Linked DNA regions of Elephas maximus indicus. The protein of the gene in region 2 interacts with the protein of the main gene of each other region in a biochemical or structural test. Links are inferred from orthologs where the notes say so. Each region holds a gene or a part of one and is shown on either strand. Other genes may lie near its edges.

What was found.
Region 1: the proteins of UBR5 (region 2) and PCK1 form a complex in vitro, tested with the Homo sapiens proteins (2 studies listed by BioGRID, with this or other methods). The link is inferred for Elephas maximus indicus from reciprocal best matches to the Homo sapiens genes UBR5 and PCK1.
Region 3: the proteins of UBR5 (region 2) and PAIP2 form a complex in vitro, tested with the Homo sapiens proteins (2 studies listed by BioGRID and IntAct, with this or other methods). The link is inferred for Elephas maximus indicus from reciprocal best matches to the Homo sapiens genes UBR5 and PAIP2.

What each region holds. Positions count from the first base shown.
Region 1 is NC_064843.1:11,697,584-11,705,551, forward strand, and holds the start of PCK1 (phosphoenolpyruvate carboxykinase, cytosolic [GTP]), read right to left. Parts: upstream 3,047-7,968; 5' UTR 2,964-3,046; intron 1-2,963. UniProt on the Homo sapiens protein: Cytosolic phosphoenolpyruvate carboxykinase that catalyzes the reversible decarboxylation and phosphorylation of oxaloacetate (OAA) and acts as the rate-limiting enzyme in gluconeogenesis.
Region 2 is NC_064833.1:39,565,982-39,573,802, forward strand, and holds the start of UBR5 (E3 ubiquitin-protein ligase UBR5), read left to right. Parts: upstream 1-4,793; 5' UTR 4,794-4,840; coding exon 4,841-4,902; intron 4,903-7,821. UniProt on the Homo sapiens protein: E3 ubiquitin-protein ligase involved in different protein quality control pathways in the cytoplasm and nucleus. Mainly acts as a ubiquitin chain elongator that extends pre-ubiquitinated substrates.
Region 3 is NC_064820.1:152,470,897-152,478,896, forward strand, and holds the start of PAIP2 (polyadenylate-binding protein-interacting protein 2), read left to right. Parts: upstream 1-4,994; 5' UTR 4,995-5,134; intron 5,135-8,000. UniProt on the Homo sapiens protein: Acts as a repressor in the regulation of translation initiation of poly(A)-containing mRNAs. Its inhibitory activity on translation is mediated via its action on PABPC1.

The DNA.
Region 1 (7,968 bases), on a different chromosome or scaffold from region 2:
AAACTTTCACTTAAAGCATAGTAAAAGAAAAAAAAACTACAATAAAAAAATTAAAAAAAAAAAATTATCCCCTGAAGCCATCGTTAAACAACTGTTTAGCTAAACCAGTAAAGAATGTTCACCATGAGAATTTTATTCTTTTAAAGAACTGTCTGTATGAGATCAAACTGTCAACAGTAACGCTAAAGCACAGATAAGAAGCTCAGGGGGTAAGGAGTCTAAGTCAATGGTTGTGGAACAACATGGGTAGAGAGAGCAAGAATGGTGACCCAATGTGGAGAATGTAGTCCATGTCATTGAACTGTATGGGCAGAAACCGATGAATGGATGTACGTTCTCCCGTGTATGTTTTCACCACAATTAATAATAATTAAAAAAAAAGATTACATAGTCCATTTTTTAGTTTGAAGATGTGGGGTCAACTTATTACATCATTAAGGTGTCTTTCCCCTAGAGGGCTGTGGTTTTGTTTGTTTGCTTATGTTTTCCACAATGAAGAAACTGAAATGGATCTAGAGCTAAACCACTTGCCTGAATACAGTTAATAAAAGATGATTTTAGCTGCAAAGCTTTACACTCAAGACATGGTAAATAAATGCCAATATCCAGGTATTAGAACTTTTCAGAGGCCTAATTACCTCCCGTTTCAACCCTTGCTGACCCATGGGAACAGCGGGGCTATAAAATCTTGTTGATTTTCTCAGGAGGTTTCTTCGCCAGGTTTATGAAGTGGCCTGAGAGAGCCGCGGCCTTGGTGAAACGATGACGTTACAGCATCACACCCACTGTAGGTCCACCTGCTTCTGCCTCTGGGAGTGGCTTCGCCCTTTAGCCTTCACCGCCCTCAAGCTGCTGACAATTAGCTGATACAGAGGAGACTGCAACACAGGGCCAAGGCAGGACAATCGCCCTCAAGTTGGGGCACTCAGATTCTAAAATTGCTCTGCTCGCCTCTGGACAGTGGGAAATTACAGAACTCCTCGTCCGTGAAGCCATTTTTTGTTATTTTATCTTACCGTTGTTGTTGAGAATATACACAACAGAACATACACCAATTCAACAATTTCTACGTGTACAATTCAGTGACACTGATTACATTCTTCAAGTTGTGCAACCATTCTCAACCTCCTTTCCCAAATCGTTCCTCCCCGTTAACATAAACTCACCGTCCCCTAAGCTTCCTATCTAACCTTTCGGGTTGCTATTGTCAGTTTGATCCCACATAGTTCTTTAAAAGAACACAATGCTCAAGGCAGACATTCTTCACCAGTTAAGCTAAACTATTGCATGGTTCAAAGAAGACTCGTTGAAGTCATTTTGAGTCTGGTTGCCCGTTATTTACATCTAGAAGCGTCCTGACTGAGCCAGGCCAACCCAGTCCACACCCAACTAAGACTCAGGAGACCTGGGTTGTTTCTGGTCTCTGCCCCTCTAGAGTCCCTGGGTGATACAACGGTTAATGTGCTCGGCTGCTAACTAGAAGGTTGGGGGTTCGAGTTCACCTTGGAAGAAAGACCAGGTGATCTATTTCAAAAAAATTAGCCACTGAAGACCCTACAGAGCACCTTTCTACTCCGACACATGCGGGGTTGCCAGGGGTTGGAGTCGACTCAACAGCAGTTGGTTTTTGGTTTGTTTTCCTTTTTCTTTTCCTTTTTGCCCCTTCTCAAACCTGTCTGGGTCTCACTTTCCTCACCCGGCAAGGGTGGAAGTGGAAGAGATACACTCGAAGGCCCTGTTGTGAGATGCAATTGGTTCCGACTCACAGCCACCCTATGTACAACAGAACCACCAGCTGAGGTACTTGCTGAGGGTACAGGGAATATGGAACGGGTGATGGAAAAAAGTAGTTCTAAATACCAGTTATAACCATGTGGCCAGTTGCAGAAATAAGGACTGTAATTGGTGAGAGTATTTCTTCCTTGTATGTGCACATCAAATATTTGTTTTCTTCACTCATAAAATATAAGATGTAAACGGGGATGGTGTGTTTTTGATTGTACACGTTAGTTGTATCCTGTTAGGAGCACGTATGACTTTGTAACTGTCTTTATTTAGAGATTGTGTATGGTTAAGGAGATATGTACAAGAAACAAGTTGACAAGGGGTGGACTATGATGGTTAAGGTTGTGGGTCAACTCGGCTGAGCCGTGATTCTCAGTTACATAGTGGCAGTTATGTAATGATATAGTCACCTCCATGATGTGAGCTGATATGATCACCAATCAGTTGTAAGGGGAATTTCCTTGGGGGTGTGGCCTGTATCCAATATATGGATGTTTTGGCAAAGCTCGCTGGCTTTTGCTTACTCTGGATCCTACATCCAGCTCGTCACCATCTGAACTCTGCTCTCGGGACTTGAGCCAGCTTCTTGCTGTATTACCTGCCAATTTTGGGGTTTGTCAACCTCTGCAGCCCGTGAGCCAGCAGCCTGCTATCTGACCTGCCAAACTTGAGTTCGTCAGATTCTCCAGCTACGTGAGTCAGGAGAAGCCTCCAGCCTGATGCCTGACCCATGGACTTGGGACTTACCAGCCTGTGTAACTGCATGAGCCATTTCCCTGAGATTTAAAAAAAAAAATTATACATATACATTTCACTGGTTTTACTTCTGTAGAGAACTAAGCCTAACACATCTGGTATGACAAATGTACCACAGTGCAAGAAACTGACAGACGAGTGGTGATCTAAGGCCTACTCAGCTGTAAAGTCATCTCGCTTCATCACTGTACACATTCACTGCTGTGGATTCCAAAGTCCATGATGGCCTTGATTTTGTTTTGGTTTGGTTTTTGTTTCTTTCCCCTTTTATCTGGTTCGGATGACTCTGACATCGTGTTTGCTGTCTCTGTTCTTGCTGGATGCTTGGGAATTCTTTGTTTGGGTGCCACATGCACAGATTATAACGGGTGGTTGAAGGAACAAGCTAAGTAGTTAGGTCCCCAACTACATTCACCACTCACCTGTCAACCTCTCGCACTGTGGTGGCTTGCAGGTTGCTATGATGCTATATGCCACTGGTATTCCAAATACCAGTAGAGTCACCCACAGGGGACAGGTTTCAGCAGAATTTCCAGACTAAGACAGGCTAAGAAGAAAGGTCCTTCCGAAAATCAGCCAGTGAAGACTTTACGGATCACAACAGAACACTGTCCAACATGATGCTGGAAGATGCAAACACACCAACAATCATGAAGAGGGCACAGGACCAGGCAGTGTTTCATTCGCTTATATACAAGGTCTCCGTGATTCGGTGCCAACTCGATGGCCACCAACAACAATAACAACTACGTAAGGCGAAAAGGACAGTTCATCAGTTAAGACCCAACAAAATTAAAAATTCAGATTTGCTGTAATTTTTTACAACCCTGACTTGGTTCTCTCCTTCATTTTGCACGTTGTAATCACAGCATCCTCAGATTTTTTCCAAAACCGCCCATCTTCCACCATTGCCGTTTATTCTGGGCCTTTGTTTGTATCTGACTTTTTGAGTTGATGGCAGTAGTTGTATGACGTGCTCCATCTGGTCTTGTAAAATGCCCATGCCATCCGCATGGGGCTCTAGACAGATGGACACGCCAATCAGCAGAGGGAGAGATGGGCCCTTGCCAACACTGCTCATCACAGACAGAGCCTTCGGGAGACTTCTTTGTCCTCTCCGGTCTTGGTTTCCTCATCTTTAAACTAACACAACCCTTCCAACTCAAAGCACCACAGTAACAATGTCCACCTTCTGCGAGTTCAACGAACAAAATGAGAACAAATTTGCCACTGAACACTGTTCCAAGCACACACCCTGATAAAAGACAGCAGCACCAGGCGAAACGTCGGCAGGAAGAACTAATTGCATAGTTAACACAAAAACAATCCAACTCACTTATCCTGTGGCGAGAAAATGGATCCACTTTGCAGAACGGTTAACTCTATTGGAAATAATGATAATTGCTTGGAAACTAAGCGAGACCCTTCTCAGTGCTCCCTGGTAACTATGCAAATTGTTCTTCCCACCGTGGTAACAGTGCAGCTCAGAACAAAAACCTCTTTTTTGGTCCATGCTGGGATAATTTCTAAAACTCAGGAAGTCTAACTCATACCTCCTCTTCCGAGGGGGTGGGGGTGGAGGTTCACACTGCCAAGATCTGGGGACAGATCATCAGAGGTGGGGACCCTGCCAGTACATCTTGCCAGAGACTGGGACATCTGACCTAATTGTCGAAACCTGAAATATATTTATGCTGAAATATCGTGAAAACTGAGGCCCTCACCACCGCCGTTCTCACATCCTGACGCAGAAGATGGTCGATCTTCACACACACAGAAAAAAAGCTAATTTTGTAATAAATGACTGCAGAAGCTGAGGGATAAAAGATGCCAACCCAATTTCAAATCTCCTAGAATCTAGACTTTCTGGAGCCATGAAACCTGGATGAACCCCTCAAAACCAATGCCCAGAGATAATCTTCAAACCTTAAGCCAAAAATAGCCCCTCAAATCTTAAAACTGGACAATAGTTTAGCTTAACTAGTAGTAAAAAAGATCTGCCTCAAGCATTGTGCTCTTTTAAGAACTGTCTATATGGAATCAAATTGGCCATAGCAACTCAAAAGTTTGGATAGGAATCCTGCAGGCAGTGAGTTTATGTTAAGGGGGATGAACAACTCAGAAAAGGAGGGTGAGAATGGTTGCACAACTCAGAGAATGTCATCGGTGTCACTGAATTGTACATCTAGAAATTGTTGAGTTGGTGTACGTTTAGCTGTGTAGATTCTCAACAAAAAAAAAAAAAAGATGGCAACCCATAGCCCCCTTTCAAGAACTAGCCTATGTGGTTCTGGAGCTGCAATCCAGAAAGACAAATGGTGAAGTAGGAAAGCAGCTTCCATTCTGGTGTTTGGGATATTTAAAGAAATAGTGAAATTGTTGAGAGGGTAAGAAATTTTCTCTGGCTACATGGAATCACAAACCAGTGCCAATGCAGGGGCTTTAGTTCAGTAAGTTGGTGTTTCCGGCAGGAAAATGATAAGTGGGGTGGTGAGGTCGGGGTGGGGGGACTGTGCCTTCTCACAGGTGATGTCGTTATTGGGTACCGTTGAGTTGAACCCATGTGACAGAGTAGAAGTGCCCCATAGGGTTTTCTTGGCTATAATCTTCACGAAAGCAGATCACCAGTCTTTCTTCTGAAGAGTCACTGGGTGAATTTAAACCACTGACCCTTCACTTAGCAACTGAGCACTTAACCATTGTGTCATCAGGGCTCCTTTCATATGAGGTAGATTCCATAATTCTTTAATTTTCAATTAAATTGGGTTCTATCTTAGTCCTATAGTTCTGCCTACAGTGGCCTGAGGTTTGGTGCCAGGAAGCTGTGATGCATCCCTGAGCTAGCACAGCCAGGCCCTGCCCGCTTTAGGGCATGGTTTCAGGCCTGGACTCCGCTCACAAGCCCTTTGAGGCTCCCTCTCCAATACCAGGCTGACTACTGGGGAGCCGAAAATCAATGAGGGACTTCCAGACTAAGACCGACTAGGAAGAAAGGCCTAGCAATCTGCTTCTGAAAATCAGTGGGTGAGAACCCTATGTTTGGACACCAACTTCTATACAGAGGTCATCAACCTCACCGAGCAGTGGATCCCATCGGCCATGAAGGTCATCAGACATCGGGATGGGCTTGATATTGTTGAGCTGTAGGTGGGGCCCAAGGTGCGTATTAGGGAAGCAATATATAGTAGCAGTCAACAGCATGGATGCTGGAGGCAGGCGCTTCAACTTATATCTTGGCCAAGTAGCTTGGTCAAGCCATAAACTTTGTTTCCTCAGTTTCTTCATCAGTAAAGTGAGAGTAATTATGGTACTTGCTTCATCAGAATTACAAGGATTGGATTTGGCCACCCAAGAAAATGCACTTAAAATAGTGCCTGGCATGTTTGAAGGCGTGGTGTTTCAGTGGTAGAATTCTCACTTTCCATGCAGGAGATCCAGGTTCGATTCCCAGACAACATAACTCATGCACAGCCACCACATGTTAGCAGAGGCTTGTGTGTTGCTGTGATGCTGAACAGGTTGTGATGCTGAACAGGTTGTGACGCTGAACAGGTTTCAGGGGAGCTTTTTTTCCAGACTAAGATGGACTAGGAAGAAACGCCTGGTGATCTACTTCTGCAAAACAACCGATGAGAACCCTATGCAGAGAGTCCTCAAGAGTCAGGAAGGCTGACTTCACAGCACCACAGTTTTTCATGGGTACAAATTTATTTAACAATTGGCTCCCATGGGGGGCTCAGCATGGAGAAGGGCTCAAAGAAGCAAAGCCAGAGTCCCCTGCCATCAAAGTGCCTTCCTCCTCACTCCTTTTAGCACCCTTCTCACTCCTTTTAGCACCCTCCGCACCTGAAATCATGCTTGGCACGTAGTAGATGCTCAGCAAATGCCTGCCAAGCAAACCCAGCTGGGCAGGTCTACAGGCTGCTTATGGCCACGTGCCAAGTGCATTGTGGGGGCAACAAATGCACCCAGTAAATGCACCTGCCCTCTGATAAATCTCCAATCATAGAGGAATGGTGGCATCACCTCAGGTTTCCGCTGAACTTTTTCCATATGCTTTCGCGTCTCCGCTTCTTCCCTCTCATTTCCATGAATTGGATTTATGTTTTGTACCTGACGGAACCACTCGTTTTTCACGCCTGACGCTGCCCTTCCCTTGCTCCACCAGCTCCCTAGTGCACGCACTGCTGGGCTGATCCAAAGCCACCCCAAGCAGGCATCTTTTCAGACCTACGTTGCTCACTTTTCCAAAAGCCCCTCAGTGCATTCCCATAATTGCAAGCATCAAGGGCTACGAGACCCATGCATATTCGATAAAATGGGCACGCTAAATAGCCAGAGTTGTTTTCACAGTCTTGTGAGTTACAGCCGAGCAAGTTCCTATTAGCAGGACGCGTGTTGTGAACGTTGGTAAACGCTGCCGGGGGGTTGGAGGAGCCTCATCTTGACAGCTTTGATAAGTGGCCTGACTCATTGCAATTTCAAGCCACTGAAAATATCTTTTTTTCATTTGCCCTTTGCTAAATGCTGAGCTGCGAACAAAATTCTCTCCTCCCAATCCAGGTACCTAATTTTTATTAATAATATCTTCACTTGATCCATCACTGTTAACTAACGGGAATATTTGAAGACATTAATGTAAACCTGGTGAGAGGTAACATGGCAGTCCATTACTCGATTCCTCCCCGTGGATTCGCAACACCAGCTGCATCGCCAAAAAGCCCTGGTGGTGCAGTGGTAAAGCGCTCAGCTGCTAACCCCAAGGTTAGTGAGAAAGATGTGGCAGTCTGCTTCCGTAAAGATTTCAGCCTTGGAAAACCCTACTGGCCAGTTCTACCTCGTCCTACAGGGTCACTACCAGTTGAAATCAACTCGACAGGAATGGGTTTGGCTGCATTACCAATGTGCTCAGGGCCTCCACCCGTCGGGGCTCAACTTCTCCTGGGCAAGGAGGCTGTGTGAGCGGAGGCTTCCTGACTGTGTCCATACCCTGGGCCAGATTAACCAGTAAGCAAGGTGCGCTCGGGCTTAATTGTGTCCACTTACTAATGTGGATTTCACCACATCTTTGGTGATGTGTGAGGTCAGCTGCCCTGTTGCAGGGTTCCTACTCCTGGCACCGGTCAGGCTCTGCTTCTTGTTAGTTGCCATCGAGTCAGCCCCTACTCATGGCAACCTTCTGTATACCAGAATGAAATGTAACCTGGTCCCTATACCAGCTTAGTCTTGCTTACTTTGGACAGGTTATCAGGAAGGACCAACACCTGGAGAAGGACATGATGCCTGGTAAAGCAGAGGGTCAGCAAAAACAAGGGAGACCCTTAATGAGATGGGCTGACACAGTAGCTGCAACAATGGGCTCAAACATAACTATTATTGTGAGTTGGGCACAGAAGGAGGCAATGTTTCGTTCTGGTATACCTAGGA
Region 2 (7,821 bases):
TTTAGCATTTTAGTATGGCTTGGGTACTAAAAAATTCTTACCTTCTTCTTTTTTAATATTTTTACTTTCATTTTTGAAATTCTTGGTGGTATTCTTTGGCCATAGGAGTATGCTTTGCATACAAGTGGGGAAGGCTTGAAGGGTCAAGGAGAGCAATCCTCTACTGAAAGACAGATTTGATCATAAATACTCCTAGCTTCCTGTCCCCTCAGTGGGACAATTCTGAGGTGTGTCCCACATAGTTTCTCAGAGGGTTTCCAGTAGGACAGAGCTCCAGTTACCCACAGTGGTAAAACATTCACTAGAACCCCTTTTATTGGCTTTTCTCTCTTCCTTGTTTCCACTCCCATACAGTGCTTCCTGGGATCATCTTCTGAATAAACTACTTATAGTCAAACCCTTGTCTCAAGGTCTGCTTTTTGGGAAACCAAATCTAAGACTTGGCCTATTTCAGGGGTGTAGCCCTTCAGGGTCTCAGCACAGAATAAGAGGCCCTGCATATCAATCGTTGTTGTTTTAGTCCGGAGCATTTGTCAAGTGTTCAGACTCTTGGCTTTTCAGCCTGTCTCTCTAGAACTGGCATTCATCTTTAGAAGAAAAAGTGGCTCCAAACATAGGACTCACTTCCCTGGGTCTCATTCTTCCTTTGGATCCTGGCTTGGGAAGTCATCATTATTTTGTTAGCTCTCTTTTTCTTTAAGCAGATTTAAAGAAATATTTTGTACAACTTTTCTAGTTGTCCTCAGAGGGAGGATTAATTCAAAGGACTAGTAAGTCCCCAGCCTCCTTTTGTAGCCTTATATTTTGGGAGCCCTGGTAGCACTGCCATTAAGAGTTTGGCTGCTAGCCAAATGGTTGACAGTTTGAATCCACCAGCCTCTCCTTGGAAACCCTATGGGCCAGTTCTACTCTGTCCTATAGGGTTGCTATCAGTTGGAATCGACTCTACGGCAATAGGCTTTGTTTTGTTTTTGGTATTACGCTTTGAGTCTTCACAGAGATTGTTTTTCTTGAGTCCTGCTTATTTCTATTTCTCTATCTCCATTTCCCCCACCACTCCACCCATGCATCCTATTGGCTTTCACAACTCCATGACTTTGTTCTTCTTTTTCCCGGTTCAGAATATGACCCACCAAAGTATCAGCCCTGGAAGAAGAGGATTGTTGCAAACATGCCAGTCTGGGACCACAAAAAGGTAGCAATGCCAAGATGGTCGTGAGTCAGAGATCAAGTAGGCAGTTCGAAAGGGCTGCCAAGAAAGTATGTCACAGTTCTAGGAAACTCCCATTGCTGTCAAGTCAATTCCAACTCACAGGGACCGTATAGGACAGAGCAGAATTGCCCCACAAGGTTTCCAAGGCTGTAATCTTTACAGAAGCAGATTGTCACAGCTTTCTCCTGTGGAATAGCTGGTGGTTTGAATCACTGGCCTTCTGGTTAGCAGCTGAGTGCTTAACCACCGCACCACCAGGGCTCCTTGAAGAAACTGTCATTGTTGTTGTTAGGTGCTGTTGCGTTGGTTCCGACTATAGCAAGCCTATGTATAACAGAACAAAATACTGCTGGGTCCTGTGCCATCTTCATAATCATTGTTATTATTGAGCCTATTGTTGCAGCCACTGTGTCAATTCATCTCCTTCAGAGCCTTCCTCTTTTTCTCTGACTCTCCACTTTACCAAACATGATGTACTTCTCCAGGGACTGGTCTCTTTTGATAACATGTCCAAAGTATGTGAGATGAAAGTCTTGCCATCCTTGCTTCTAAGAAGCATTCTGGTTGTACTTCTTCCAAGACAGATTTGTTCATTCTTCTGGCAGTCCATGGTATATTCAATATTCTTTGCCAAAGGCAGGCCGTATTTCAAAGGCGTCAATTCTTCTTCTTCGGTCTTCCTTACTCATTGTCTTGCTTTCACATGCATATGAGGTGATTGAAAACACCTTGGCTTGGGTCAGGAGCACGTTAGTCCTTAAAGGAAACTAACTGAACTGAAACCTTTGCTGTCAAGTTGATTCTGACTCATAGAGACCCCATAGGACAGTGTAGACTGCCCCACAGGATTTCCCAGGAGTGGCTGGTGATTTGAACTGCCGATCTTTTGGTTAGCAGCCAAGTTCTTAACCACTGGAAACTAGGAGTGGGTAAATCAGGTCAAAAGGAGGGTGGAGGCAAAATAAAAAGATGAAGGACAGATTTGGAAAAAAAGAGAAATAAGGCACGGTATGGGCAAAGTATGGAGTTGGTTCAGGGACAAATCTAAAAGGATCGGATTTAAGCTACGTAATCTATTTGCCCAGAACATTCTTGAAGGCTCAGCTTAAATGATTTTGAATTCTTTTCACTGGAATCACTTTCTCCTTTAACTTCCATAGTACTTTTATTGCATTTATCATATCACATCTTTTTCAACTGGCTTTAAATAGTCTGTTCCTTCTAAATTATTAACTACTTAATAGCAGCTGTGGTATAGTAGAAAGAGCAACTGAATCAGAGTCAGAAGACCTGGGTATAAGTCTCAACTTTAGGACTTATCATCTATGTCATCGTGGGCAAGTTATTGAAGGTGTCTGGCTCTCAGTATTCTCATCCACAAAATGGGGATAATACCATTTACCACCCTAAGGCAATCTGATACATATAAAAGGTATATAAAATGGTACAAAGTGAGCATTCAACAAATAAAATCTTTTATCTGCTGAGCTTACTATGTGTTATGAACTGCTCTAGGTGTCCAATATGTACGCCATCACAATTCTTTGCAGCTCTATTAATACATTAAATAAAATAACATAACATTTTACAAATGAGAAGGAAAAAAAGCTACAATCGGTTAAATAACTTACCCAAGATAATAATGTTAGTTAAATAGCAGAACCAGTACTCAAATCCAGGTCTGTTTCTAAAACCAACAGTCTCCACTGGGCCACCTTGTCTCCCCACGGCTCACATGGACTTCTAATACATACCAAAAACCAAATCTGTTGCCATCAAGTCAATTCTGACTCACAGCAACCCTACAGGACAGAGTAGAACTGCCTCAACAGGGTTTCCAAGGAATGCCTGGTGGATCTCAACTGCCGACCTTTTGGTTAGCAGCCCTAGCTCTTAACCACTGTGCCACCAGGGTTTCTAACACACAGTAGCCTTGAAGTCACTTTTAATCTAAGCTAATCTGGGCCGATGTTGGAGCAAGGGACCTACAAAAGTGTTCCCTTGTTTGTCTCAAAGGCTACCTAGTCTATTCTGATTTATAAACAAATTTTCATATACTTTGCACAAGGAAATTTCCTAAGCAAGAGTGTGTGTGTGTGCAATGCATTAACAGGAAAAGCGATATTTTATTCTTAACATTTTACAGGACCCCTGATTTAACTAACATTCACACAGACTGGTTAAGAGGTATGTCAGGGAAGAAGGAACTGTTTTCAGTTTTTGCCATTAAGTTTTAGAGTTCCTCAGAAGTACTTGAGTTTTTAAAAAGATCATAGAAACCTTGGGAAGAAAGCTATGATTTGGCTTTCCAAGAAAAAAAGCTGATAAATCCATTCAAGTACTTCCAGTTATGATCCCACTGATGACAAGCTGAGGAACTTCTTTGTAGAAAAGATATACCATCTTTCACTTTAAAGCAATAATAAAAAAATGATGAATCATTTAGATCAGTAAATTATTTTGTGTCCACGTTTTCTCTTTGTGGCGGTATGGGATGGTGGTGGTGTTGGGGGACATTACGGAGACCAGAGTTGCAAAAGAACTGCAAAGTCAGTTCCCTGATCCTACTATCACCTTCAGGTAAGGCCCTTACATAAATACCTTACTTCTCCAATAAAATAAAAGGCTGTTTATTTCTTGCCCTTTATCTGATACTACACTTTCACTTTAAGTACAAACGCGGATGAAAGAGAAACAACAAAACACCCCGAAGGATCGGCAAAATAATTCGGGTTGCCCCAGGGAAATCAGGGAGAGAGAAGAGAAGAGCCCCCCTCCCTTCCCACCTCCCTCGGGACACACTTACCCTCCCTCCCGAACTCCCCACCAGCCCCGGCGGGGCCGCCCCTGCGCCTCCTCCTTCCCTAACACGTGCTCCCCGGAACACTCACTCCGAGCTAGCCCACCCCCCGCGGAGGGCTGGGCTCGGGCGCCGACCAGCCCAATCCTCACGCGCCTTACAGCGCCGTGGCCCGACAACGTTGAGCCGCCCAATCGAGAGGGCCTCACCGCCCGTTTCCCGGAGCCCCGCCCCTCCGCAGCCGTGCCCCCGCCCGCCGGTCTCCGCCCTCCTCCTCCTCCCGTTCGCCCCGCCCCCGCCGCTCCGGAGCGGAGCCTGCGAGACGGAGAAACTGGGGCAGAAGTGAAGATGGCGGCGGCGGTGCTGGTGGCGGCGGCGGCGGCTTCTCGCCAGTGACGCGCGGTGCGGGCTCAGCTCCCTCCCCACCTCCCCCAGTCCGGACCCCGTCTGCCGCCGGGACCACACCGACCCCGCAGCCCGCCCCTCTCCCCCTCCCCAGTCGCCCCTTTCCCGACGCCCGGCTGCCGCTGGCGGCGGCGGCGGTGCCGCGGCTCGGGTCCCGGCCGCCGGCCTCGCACTCTTTGGTGCTGTCGCCGGGGGAGCGGGTGGCGTGTTGATCCGCCCTCCTGCCCGCCCCGCCGAGTCGCCGGGCCGCCGACACACGCCCGGCAGGGAGGCGGCGGCGGCCCCTGCGCATTTGCTTCCCTCCATCTGGGGACTAGGAGGCGGCGACGGCGGCAGTGGGTTTTGGGGAGGGGAAGGGGTCTCGGGGGGTGGGCGAGCGCCGGAGGGGGCAGTCCTCGGGAGGAGGACGAGAAGGAAGCACCATGACGTCCATCCATTTCGTGGTTCACCCGCTGCCGGGCACCGAGGACCAGCTCAATGACAGGTAATAGGGCCGGCGGGCGGGCGGGCGGGGGGAGGGGCGCCCTCCCCTCCCCCACGGGGCCGCGCCGGACGGGCGCCGGTGTTTACGCGCAGTCCGCCCGCCGGGGGGGTCCTCCCGGCCCCGAGCTAGGCCCCTTCCGGGCCAAACTTCTTGTCCAGTAGGATGCGGGGGGCGCGCGGTGTAGACGGGGGCCGCGGTGTAGACGGGAGAGCGCACCGCAGCCCCCGCCCTGAGCGGCCCCGTTGAACTCGGCGGAGATGGGGGGCTCCAGCTCTCGGGGTTGGGGGGGCGGGCTGTAATTACCTCCCGGCCCAGGCCCTAGGAATCCATATTAGTCAAAGTTGAATTGAGACAGACAATGCGGATGGGGGATGGTGGAGGTAAAAAGAGAGGGAAGAGGAGAAGCGCGGCGAGGGGGCCGGGGCAGGGCTGGGCTGGCTCGCCCCGGCTCCCGGGAGCTGGGTCCGGAGAGCTGGACCGGAGCTGCCAGTCCTGGGAGATCCCGGGGGGAGAAGCCGATTCCCGGCATTCGCGGGGGAGGGAGGGCGGCGAGGGAGGGAGGAAGCGCCATGATTATTGTTATTATTATTGAATTTGAGCCCCTGCAGTGAGGCTTGCCTGCCCGGGGAGGGGATGAATTCAGGCGGGCGTCGCGGGGCGGATTGCCTTTGCTCTCCCTGTCTTGAAACGGTACTGGCAGTTCATCCTTCCAGCCCCTGTGGTGCGAGCTTTTTTTGTTCCCCTTTTTATTCTAATGATAGTGTTTTCCTGAGTTGTAATTTGACAGCTGAAAACCGTGCGTAGAGTCAAAGGAAAACTCCTAGCGTTTGCAGCTCGCAATGCTGCTCTTCTTAACACGCTGTAAATTTCTAGGATGAGTTTGCTGTGGGCAGAGGAGGAATTATGATATGTATTTTTTTTTGTCTTTCATAAGAAGGCTGTTTTAGCCATGGATTCCTCCCCTTCCCTCCTCCACCGTTCCCGGCCAGTTTAGGATATTGAATTGCAGGGCCGCATGCTCACAGGGAACTGAGATAAAGCAGGAAAAGTTCCTTTACTGTTGCAAAACAGACTCAGGAGGTCGAGGGAGGCCTCCATTAAAGCATGTCTTTGAATCTAGGACTCAGATCGAATGATGGGCTAAATGTTTACAGGATCAGAAGGTAGGGCATTTAAGCCTCCCTCTCCCCCAATACTACTCTGTGTATTTCTTGTGAGTGTAATAGGCCGTCTGGTCCCAAGTTTAGAAGTTAGGTATAATTTTTGCTAAGTGACCTGGTGACATAAGTTGCATGACGCCCTGTTTGTCATGCGCTTCCTGGAGGGAGGAAGAGGCCTAACTTGCTGCTAAAATATTGGCCTTTCTTGATGTGTATAACCGCCTCAGGTCGGCCGGGCAACTTTTAAGTCCAGAAAACTGGAGGCTTGGTTTTAGCACTGGGTTGGATTTGTGTAATCTTTGCTGTAGCCATACTGTATTTAACATGCTTGTGAAACTTTTGGAGTACTTTTTGAAAATGTTAACCATTTTAAGTTGTCACATAGTTCCTTTAAATATGGAAATAACCTTCAAGTTATTTATTTTAACATTTTGTTATCTGATCCTTTGAGTTTATTTAGTGATGTTTTTAAGACTTCAACATAAGATTCTTTGTAAATTTAGAAGTAATTTTCTTTAGATTCAGGCTGGTAGTGAGGATAGCTCTACTGTCATTTATAGAACCAAGTGAGTAGTACTTGTCCTGTAACTTAGAAAATTGCACCAGGGAGGAGAGAACTAGGTCATGTTTTCTATATTAAACCCAATTTTCTGTTATGTATCAGGAATCCTGACTAGCTTACTCACTTGGCTGTGCACGCCAAAACCTATAGTACAATTGTATTGGGCACCTGGTTTATTTTTGAGCATTCCTTTTGCTTCAGCTGTCTTGAGAAATTTACATGTATCTTTCTTACAGATGCCTTTTTTTCCTCCAATATGAGTGTAAACAGTCAGCTTTGATTTTGATTCCTATAGTGTCAAGATACAATATTAAGAATGTTGAGACCATCTTGAATTTTTAATTCCATGAAATAAGGAAAAAAGACAAGTGTATTTGATTTAGGTTATAAAATCTGTGCATTAATATGACAGATACTTGAGTAAATAGAAACGTGCTGTAGGTAGAAATTTAGGTACTTGTATCTAGTAGCTGTAAAAATGTCAAGATTCGTTTTGTAAAGGCAGCATTTGAGACAGTCATGCAACTTAAGTTTTGGAATAGTAGATTTGTGCTGGGAGCTGTTGTGTCTGCCCTTCAAAAGAAAAGATCTGTTTTGCATGCCTCATGGCAGAGTTGCACAAGATCAACCTATTGCTTGAGAAAAATGCTTCCATTCATGATTGGTTTTTCTGGACCCTTTTAATGATCCAGAACGAGCAGCCCAGAAGATCTTCATCTTCAGATAAAAACTTAATCAAAGCTTATTAAGTTCTGGTAATAGAAAAGAGTGTGCTACTGTAGCTTGATTTTTGTAAGATATGTGTCTTTTGTGATAGTCATAAACTAAATGATAAATGATAGTTTTGGATGAAAAATTATAAATAGGTAGACTTTGTTCTTTACCTGAAAAGCAGTAAGATTGATGAGGCAGTATGGTACTGTAAATAAATTGCCCAGTTAAAGAAAACTGTTGAGCTGAAACCACCACCAATATTTTCTTCTCCAAATAAATTTTCTTTCTTTAAATACATACATTCTGTTAAAAGTCAAACATTTTGTTCAGTGTAATAGTCTGATGTCTTAAACATCTAAAATGTACCCAGCACAAAGAAAAACACCTGATATTTTTTCTTAATGTGTGTTCCCAAACTTCCTAATTTTATGATAGTCTGCACATACTAGGTTAAAAATCTTTAATTATTGTCCCTTGGAGGCT
Region 3 (8,000 bases), on a different chromosome or scaffold from region 2:
CAAAAATGATTGAATTCTTTTCCTCTATACCAGAGGTTCTCAAATGTTAGCATGCATCAAAAGTACCTGAAAAACCTGTTAAAACATTGCTGGGCCCCACTCCTGGAATTTCTGATTTACTAGATTTGGGATGGGTCCAGAGAATTTGCATTTTTAGCGGGTTACTAGGTAGTGATGTCAAGAATAGAGACATTAGGAGAATGATTGCTTTAACTATAGCTATAAAAGTGTGTTCAGATAGTTGTAACTAGAGTCCTGATTTAGTTAACATTGCCTGAAGAACAGGTCTCGCTACTGTCCTCTTTTGAGAACACACCTTGTGCAAAGCCTTTTTGGGGTGGGAGGGCGGTTTGGTTTGGTTTCTTCCATGAATCAGTGGAAGAAACTTGTTTCCGGACCCTATAAATACTGCTTTCCTCTATAATTAATTGCACTGCCCAGACCTGCCCTTCTCCATGTTTTGCTGGAAACAAGAAAAAAGTTCAAGTCTTCTGGGTACTTCATGCACTCATACCTTCTCGGGAAGGTTAGTGAAGTCTTGAGAATTAGCTGAAGCCTGACCAGGTTTCTTTTCCCATCTTCTACAGTGGACCTCTAGTCAGTCACAACATAGGATTTCATGAACCAGCTTGATATTAGATAGTTTCTACTGAATGGCAAAGGGAGAATGGTTACTCTCTTAACCGCTTGGGTGCATCCAACCTGTTGATTGATAATACTTTGAAGTTGAAACTGGCTAGACTCATTTGGAGAAGTAGTAATTAGATAAAAGTCCTACTGTTGCTCTACTGTTGATTCTAAGAATCTTGATTTCTCCCTGACATTCAAAGAACTTGAATCAGAGTGGAGTAATTTTCCAGAAGGCATGTTTCTTGGCTTTTTACACTTCAAAAGAATGTGGACTTTAACCCCAGCTCAATATACAAAGGTATGCCATCAAAGTATTCTTTAGGAAAATGAATTTTAAAAAGTCTAAGAACTGTCAGAAGGTAATAACAGTTTTGAAAGGAATAAAGTATATTCACAGTCTTAAAGAATTTAGCTTGGGGTTTTAAGCCCTGACCTTTTCTTGTACTTAACATTGTAGCTTTAGAAAGTTAATGTAATTTTTATACAACTTAGGAACTCTGAAGTCAAGTGCACAGTAGGAAGTATGAAAAATGTGAAAGTGGAAACTAAAGGAAAGGGCAACCTCTTAGGTATAACAGACAAAAGCCAATAAACGTCTGTCAGCCCCTCCGCCTCAGGAGGATACCTACACTCAGCATACACAGGATAGAAATTATTGACATTGGGTGCAGGTTTTAATCAACTGTGATGACACTGCTTCATACATGGTAGTATTGATGAGATGTTGCCTTAAAGGACCTGATCCAAATGGGATATGCCAACACCAAGAGCAGGAGAATTTTAACGTTTGATAGGATGGATGCTCTTCCAATTTCACTCATTGCCTGGCCAGTCAAAAACGTGACCAATTTCTCGTTGCTCAACTTAGAAGCAATGGCTAATGGCCATCTGGAAATTTGAGGAGAGAGACTTTTTTCCACGAAAAGACTTGGCTACATACAATCAGAAGTTGCAGTTAGTTCCCAGCTACTTTCTTGGCAGCTACCAACAGTCTGCCTTTGTTACATGGGCTTTTTTTTGCTCCACTTCTATAAGGACAAAACCAGTTGTCGTGTGTGCCAGAGCAGGACTGTGTCCCATAGGATTTTCAGTATCTGGTTTTTTGCAAGTAGATTGCTAAGCTCTTTTAGGCACTTCTGTGTGGACTCAAATTTTTACATTAGCAGGCAAATACTCTAACTTTGCACTACCCACAGGGATTCCTGTATTAGCATAAGCCCACATTTATGCCGTTTTTGTGAATTCTTTCGAATTTGTGTGGTGCCTGAAAGCTTGTGGAAAGGAATTTCCTTTTAAGTTGATTATTGGTAAAGTAGTTAGTAAGACTCTAATAATACCTCCTAATTTGTTTTCCTGTTGTGGCTTCTGCTGTTCATAAGCACAAAATGTCTCAGATCCCTCTTCTATTACACATCTACTTAGTTCTTAGATCCAGCAAAGCCTGCCTCCTCAACATATACAAATTCCACCCTTTTAAGTCCTGGCCATTTTTAAGCCCCACACTCGGGCATGACTTTTCCAGGAAAAGATAACTACTTACTGCCTTGCTGCGTATCAGTGCATAGAACAGTGCTGGCACATAGGCTTTCAGTGTTGAATGTTTACTTCCTCACCTGAATTGTTAAATTCATTCAGAGCAGGGGCCTTTGCTCATCCCCACACTGCTAGGCCTTTATGCAGCATTTAGTAATGCTGGGCTACCATTGTCTGCGCAGCTTCCTCGTGAGATTAGCATGGGGACAAGGCTCTTAACAAGCTACTGTAGAAACCTATGTTAAATTTTAATTCAGAGTGTTTTTTTTCCCCCTTATTTTTAAACGCAGTTCAAGCTTTCATACAGAATTCAAACAATACAGAAAAGTATACAGAAGATAGTAAAATTCCATCGAAATCTGATCACCTAGAGATGGCAATATTTTGGTGACCATTCATTTACTCTTATACCCATGTATGTCTGTGTTTACATAGACAATTTTAGAACATTATACATGCTATTTCGCCACCTATCTTAAACTGCATTGTGGGTATCCTAGTACACCATAGTTTAATTCCCTATTGATAGGCTTTTCGTTTTTTTGGCATTCAGAGCATAGCTATGAGTATCCTTCTATGCCTCACACATGTCTAATTTCTTTGGGTAGATTATGTGTGGTGTTTGGGTCAGAAGGTGTACATATTTTGTATTTTCATAAAAATTAGAGCTGTTCAGGAAGGTGCTAAGAGTTTCAGAGTGGAAGCCTATTCCTAGTCATCCTGCTTCTTCATTACCATCTTGATTTCTACTCCAATACTTAAGATTGTTACTACAAACCAAGCAGCTGAATCTCCACAGTATTTTTAAACTGTGGGCCTCTGCTAGTCCCGTCGCAGTGTCTCAGTCCTCACCGTTAGCAAATTGCTGACTAGCCTTCACTCTATTGACAGTGTTTTCCATGCATAGACCATCACTACCATCCAAAGATAGCATGGGTATTGTGAACTCCCATTTCACAAGTGGAAGAGGAGCCTTCAGAGTAGAACTGCCCTGTAGAGTTTCCAAGGAGCACCTGGCGGATTTGAACTGCCGAGCTCTTGGTTAACAGCCGTAGCACTTAACCACTATGCCACCAGGGTTTCCACTACAGATTATCCAGCTTCCATCTATTTTGATTTTTGGTATCCCCCATCCTGTTCATGCCTCTTCCAACCTGTGAGGTTTATCTCCCAGGTACCTCTCCTATACCCCTTGGATGTAACATACTCCACAGAATGATAATAGTATCATCTCTTTCCTCCCAGAACAGGCAGCAAAACCAAACCTTTCCTCTAAGTTTAGGATGTTCGGTGCTGTAGAATTGGTTCGGACTCAGCGACGCTATGTACGACAGAAGGAAACACTACCCAGTCCTGCACCACCCTCACCATTGTTACTATACTTGAACCCATCTTGCAGCCACTGTCGATCCACCTCGTTGAGGGTTGTGTTCTCTTTCGTCGACCCTCTACTAAGCACGATGCCCTCCAGGAACCAATCCCTCCTGATAATATACCCAAAGTATGTGAGACAAAATCTTGCCAGAGTGGTAGACGGGGACTAAAGCACAGCACCTGTGTTCCTTATTTGGGACTTTGGAACTAACACAAAACAGGTTTTCAATGAATGAAACGGTTCTAAAGAAAACTAGCCCTATTTCTGGATTCAAGCATTCTCATGAAAAGAATTTTTTTTTCTTGCAAGAACAGTTTTAAAAAAGGCTCCAATGTAACAAGAAGATTTACAATAAACGGTAAATCTTAAATGTTTCCCAGTCCCTCATTTGCCCTCCCAAGAGGCAAGAAATTACCCGTTTTTGTGTGTCCCCTTCTAATACAATGTATACGTATTCAAACATCCAATTTTCTTACACTATTCTGTGTATTTAGTTTCACTTTAAAATGTAACTTGGAGCTTGCCAATGATAGTAAAGAAGCATGAATAAGATTAATAAACGTATGGGGTGTACTGCATCCAGGATCATGGGCTAAAAAAGTCATGGGCCCTAAGGTCTTATCCAGGATGTCTCTGAACAGGGATTTCCCCTCTCAGCCACAAAGGTTTCCATAGGCTGCTTGGGAACCATGTATTCAAATTTTGCGTTTGTACATAATGGTCCGGCTTTGTGTTTGTGTGCCCATACGTGTCTCAGGGCAAGTGCTTGTAGATAATCAGTATATCTCTGTATTAGTTTATTATGTTTATCATATTTCTGTGTCACGATCTCTGGATGTGACTCGGTACATATCACTTAGCGTGACACTCATTTTTGGGGTGTGGGTCTGGGTGTGTGGGTACAAAGTTTCGCTGTCTACCCGTTACCGTACAGTGGATTCCGACTCACAGCGACCTTATAGGACACAGTAGAACTGCCCCATAGGGTATCCAAGGAGTGGCTGGTGGATTGGAACAACCGACCTTTTGGTTAGCAGCCGAACTCTTAGCCACTGTGCCACCAGGGTTCCATGCCTTTGTCTAGATGTCCCTATTTGGTGTCAGTATGTGTGTGTGTGTGGTAACCACTGGGATATGTAAGGGTCCAGATCTGTGTGTTTGTCAGGGTCTGTTTCTGTATCCACATCCCCCACCCACTGCGTCCTATCCTTCTCGAAAGATGGGCGGATGTAGGGAGAGTGAACCCGCCCTACTCCCGCCTCCCAGAGGGAACACAACAGGGCTCTCAATATATCCTGCAGGAAAGGCCGTGGCGCGTGCACACGTGTGCAACGTTCGGGGGACGCAGAAACTTTGGGGGTCGCGTGTTCTCTCGCGCGCTCTCTAGCGGACTCTGGCTGCAGCGCTGACAGAAAGAGGGGGCGGGGCCTGTCGTGGTGGCGGAAGTGAGGTCACTTCCGGTCTTGGGTGTTTGTTTGGACTGGAGAAGGGAGGTGGCGGGCTAAGCGCACGTCGAGCGGGGGAGCGGCGGTGCCTGTGGAGATCCGCGGAGGCCGACAGGATTCGTTGGCTGCCGTTCCCGCTGCGGTGCACTGGGTGAGGGGGTCCCTTCGGGTGGAGGATTAAGAAGGGTGCGGCGGCCCTGGCGGTTGAGACACAGCACCTCGGCGACGCCTGAGGGGCCTAGAGGGTCTCCACGGATTGATAGCCACCGCGTCCCCGTACGGCCTCTGTTGTTTCTTTCCCCTTTCCGCTGAGTGTGAGGGACAAGCTTGGGCTGACTTCGTCTCTTTCTTCTTTTAGAAATGGCCGTTGCTTTTTTTCTCATTGTCATTATTATTTATGATTTGGTTCTGGCAGATTTCTATCCGGGTCCCCCGTGGCGCGCAGGGGTTGTCGGGATAGCACTTTCTGGTATCTCCTCACCCTTGCCGAAGCCCTTTCTTCACTCCCCACCCCCATCCCCGTACCCTTTCTCTAGCCCCCCGCTGCCGCCTCGGCAACAAAGCTCATTGTTTCTGCCCACTTTACGCCTGCGCGTCGCCACGCGCACCCTCTACTTGCTGCGCGTGCGCGCTCTTACCAAGCCTGGGACGGTGGGGAGGGGTGTGAGGCAGAAGGGGCTGGAGGGACTAGCGGGCTGACGAGCGTTCTCGGGGAGCACCGTGCAGCCGTCAGCGGGCCTGTATCTTTCTGAGCCCCTTTCTCCGATTTCTTCGCCTCCTCTACTCCTTATTTTTAGTTGTATTGTATCCCTTGTTCTGGATAGCAGTACCTTTGTTTGGGGTACTGGGGTCTCCTACTCCAGGCGAGCTGTGAGCTAGATGAACTTTAAGAGCCCATCTAATTTATAGTCTTTGATACTCTTTTCTTAACCTTTTAATTCCTTTTAATACTTAATACCGAAAAAAATAGGACTTGTGGTGAAGTTTTGTTTTCAAAATACTTGTTTCAGCAGCCGGCAGTGGTATTTTCTAGTGACTCCTGGAAGGATTCTTTTCTGCCTTCTTTTGGTCTCTTGCTTTCCCTGATTTTGTGACCCTGTTACCTTACGGAAACTCCAAACTCTAGAAAGAATTTCGCTTCCAGTTTGCCTTGGAGAAAGGTTTAACCTAGGCTTTAACGTTAATTTCAACAGAAGACAGATTGCCATTTGATGTATGCTGGCAAAACTTGTGCCCTGGTAGCACAAATTGCATTTGAGTAGGTGGTAAGGTATTGGTTTGCATTTTCATGAAATAACCTTTGAGATTTCATCCGCAGCATTTTGTTTGCTAATAGGAAAAGGGTATTTCAGGATTTTTTTATGGGACTCCGGTGTTTGCTATTTTGTGGTTCTGCTTCCGGTCTGTGAAAGCATGTATGTGGCAAATTAGTCTTTTTGTGTTATTTGTTGGTTGTGAACTCGAACAAAACTATTTCTCACAAATAAATATTTACCACAAATAAAGATAGGAAGAGTCCAAAAATTATATTTCTGTTTTTCAGAGAAGGGAGGTTGGAGACTGGAGACTTGTAATGTAAAGGCTTGGGAGCTTGGCGTTTTTGTTATAGTATATTGCTTCTTAGGAAACCCTGGCGGCTGTGGTTAAGAGCTACCGTCACAATTCGAATCCACAGGCGCTCTTTGGAAACCGTGTGGGGCAGTTCTACTCTGTCTTACAGGGTCCCTATGAGTCAGAACTGACTGGAGGGCAATGGGTTGGGTTTTTATTGCTTCTTAAAAGCTCAAATTGAACTAAATGATTTTTACTCTCATTGGGACCCAGTACTGTTTATAGCAGAGCCCTGGTGGTGCAGTGGTTAAGAGCTCAGCTGCTAACCAAAAGGTCAGCAGTTCGAATCCAACAGCCACTCCTTTGAAACCTTATGGAGCAGTTCTCCTCAGTCCTGTAGGGTTGCTATGAGTCGGAATCAGCAACAGACTTCTTTTTGGTTAAGTTACAGCAGGCTTTTCCATGAGTGAGTACTGTACACCTTATTCATATTCATCCATTTATGACTCCGGTTTTGTGTGTGTGTGTGTGTCTTTTAGATGAAGGTTTACAGAACAAACTAGCTTCTTATTAAACGCTTAACAGCCTCAGGACATGTCAGCACTCTCCTTTCTTGACCTTAGGTTCTCTGTTGTCCCCTCCTGCCTTCTAGTCCTTGCCCCTGGGCTGGTGTGCCCTCTTTTGTCTTGTCTTGTTTTACCGGCCTGTCTAATCTTTGGCTGAAGGGTAGACCTCAGAAGTGACTTCAGTACTGAGCTATATGACTCCAGTTTTAAAGAAAATGTAGATATTCAGTAAATATTCACTGTCACCCCAGCAGCTTCATGGATATTGTGAGGGATTAAAGAAGGTGAAAATAAGGGCCTTGTCCCTATCCTTGTAATCTAATAACCTTTTATGCTTTTATATCTTGTAATTTACAAAATATTTTTGTATTCATAATAGCCACAACCTATGAAAAAAAAATTTTTTTATGAGGTAGGCAGAGCAAATTTTTTCTTACCTATTTTGAGATTGAGGAAATTTGAGCTTGAGAAATTTCTGTTTGTTTAGTAAATGCTTATATAACATTGTTCTAAGTGTTTTTATAGATATTAACTAACCCTTCTACCCTCTCTTACCACCTTTTGGAGTTAGGTAATACTGTAAAGTGAAGACAATAAATGAGAGATGTTAAATAATTTGGTCAGGTGTCACACACAGCTACTAAGAACTGGAATTCACATCCAGTTGGTCCAGACAGTGTGTGCTCTTAACCGTTATATTGTGCTGCTTGTGATTTAGTGACATATATATGGCCCCGTAGGTGGCATAGCTAGTGGCATATCTGGAATTTAAACATACTTCTGACTCTGGTGCAAGATTAAAGTTGTCTAAGTCATCACCTTTGTAAAGATCTGGACCTCCCTATTGCACAGTACATGAATGGTTTGCATTTGATAAAGCCCAAGGTTCAGTTCCAGTAG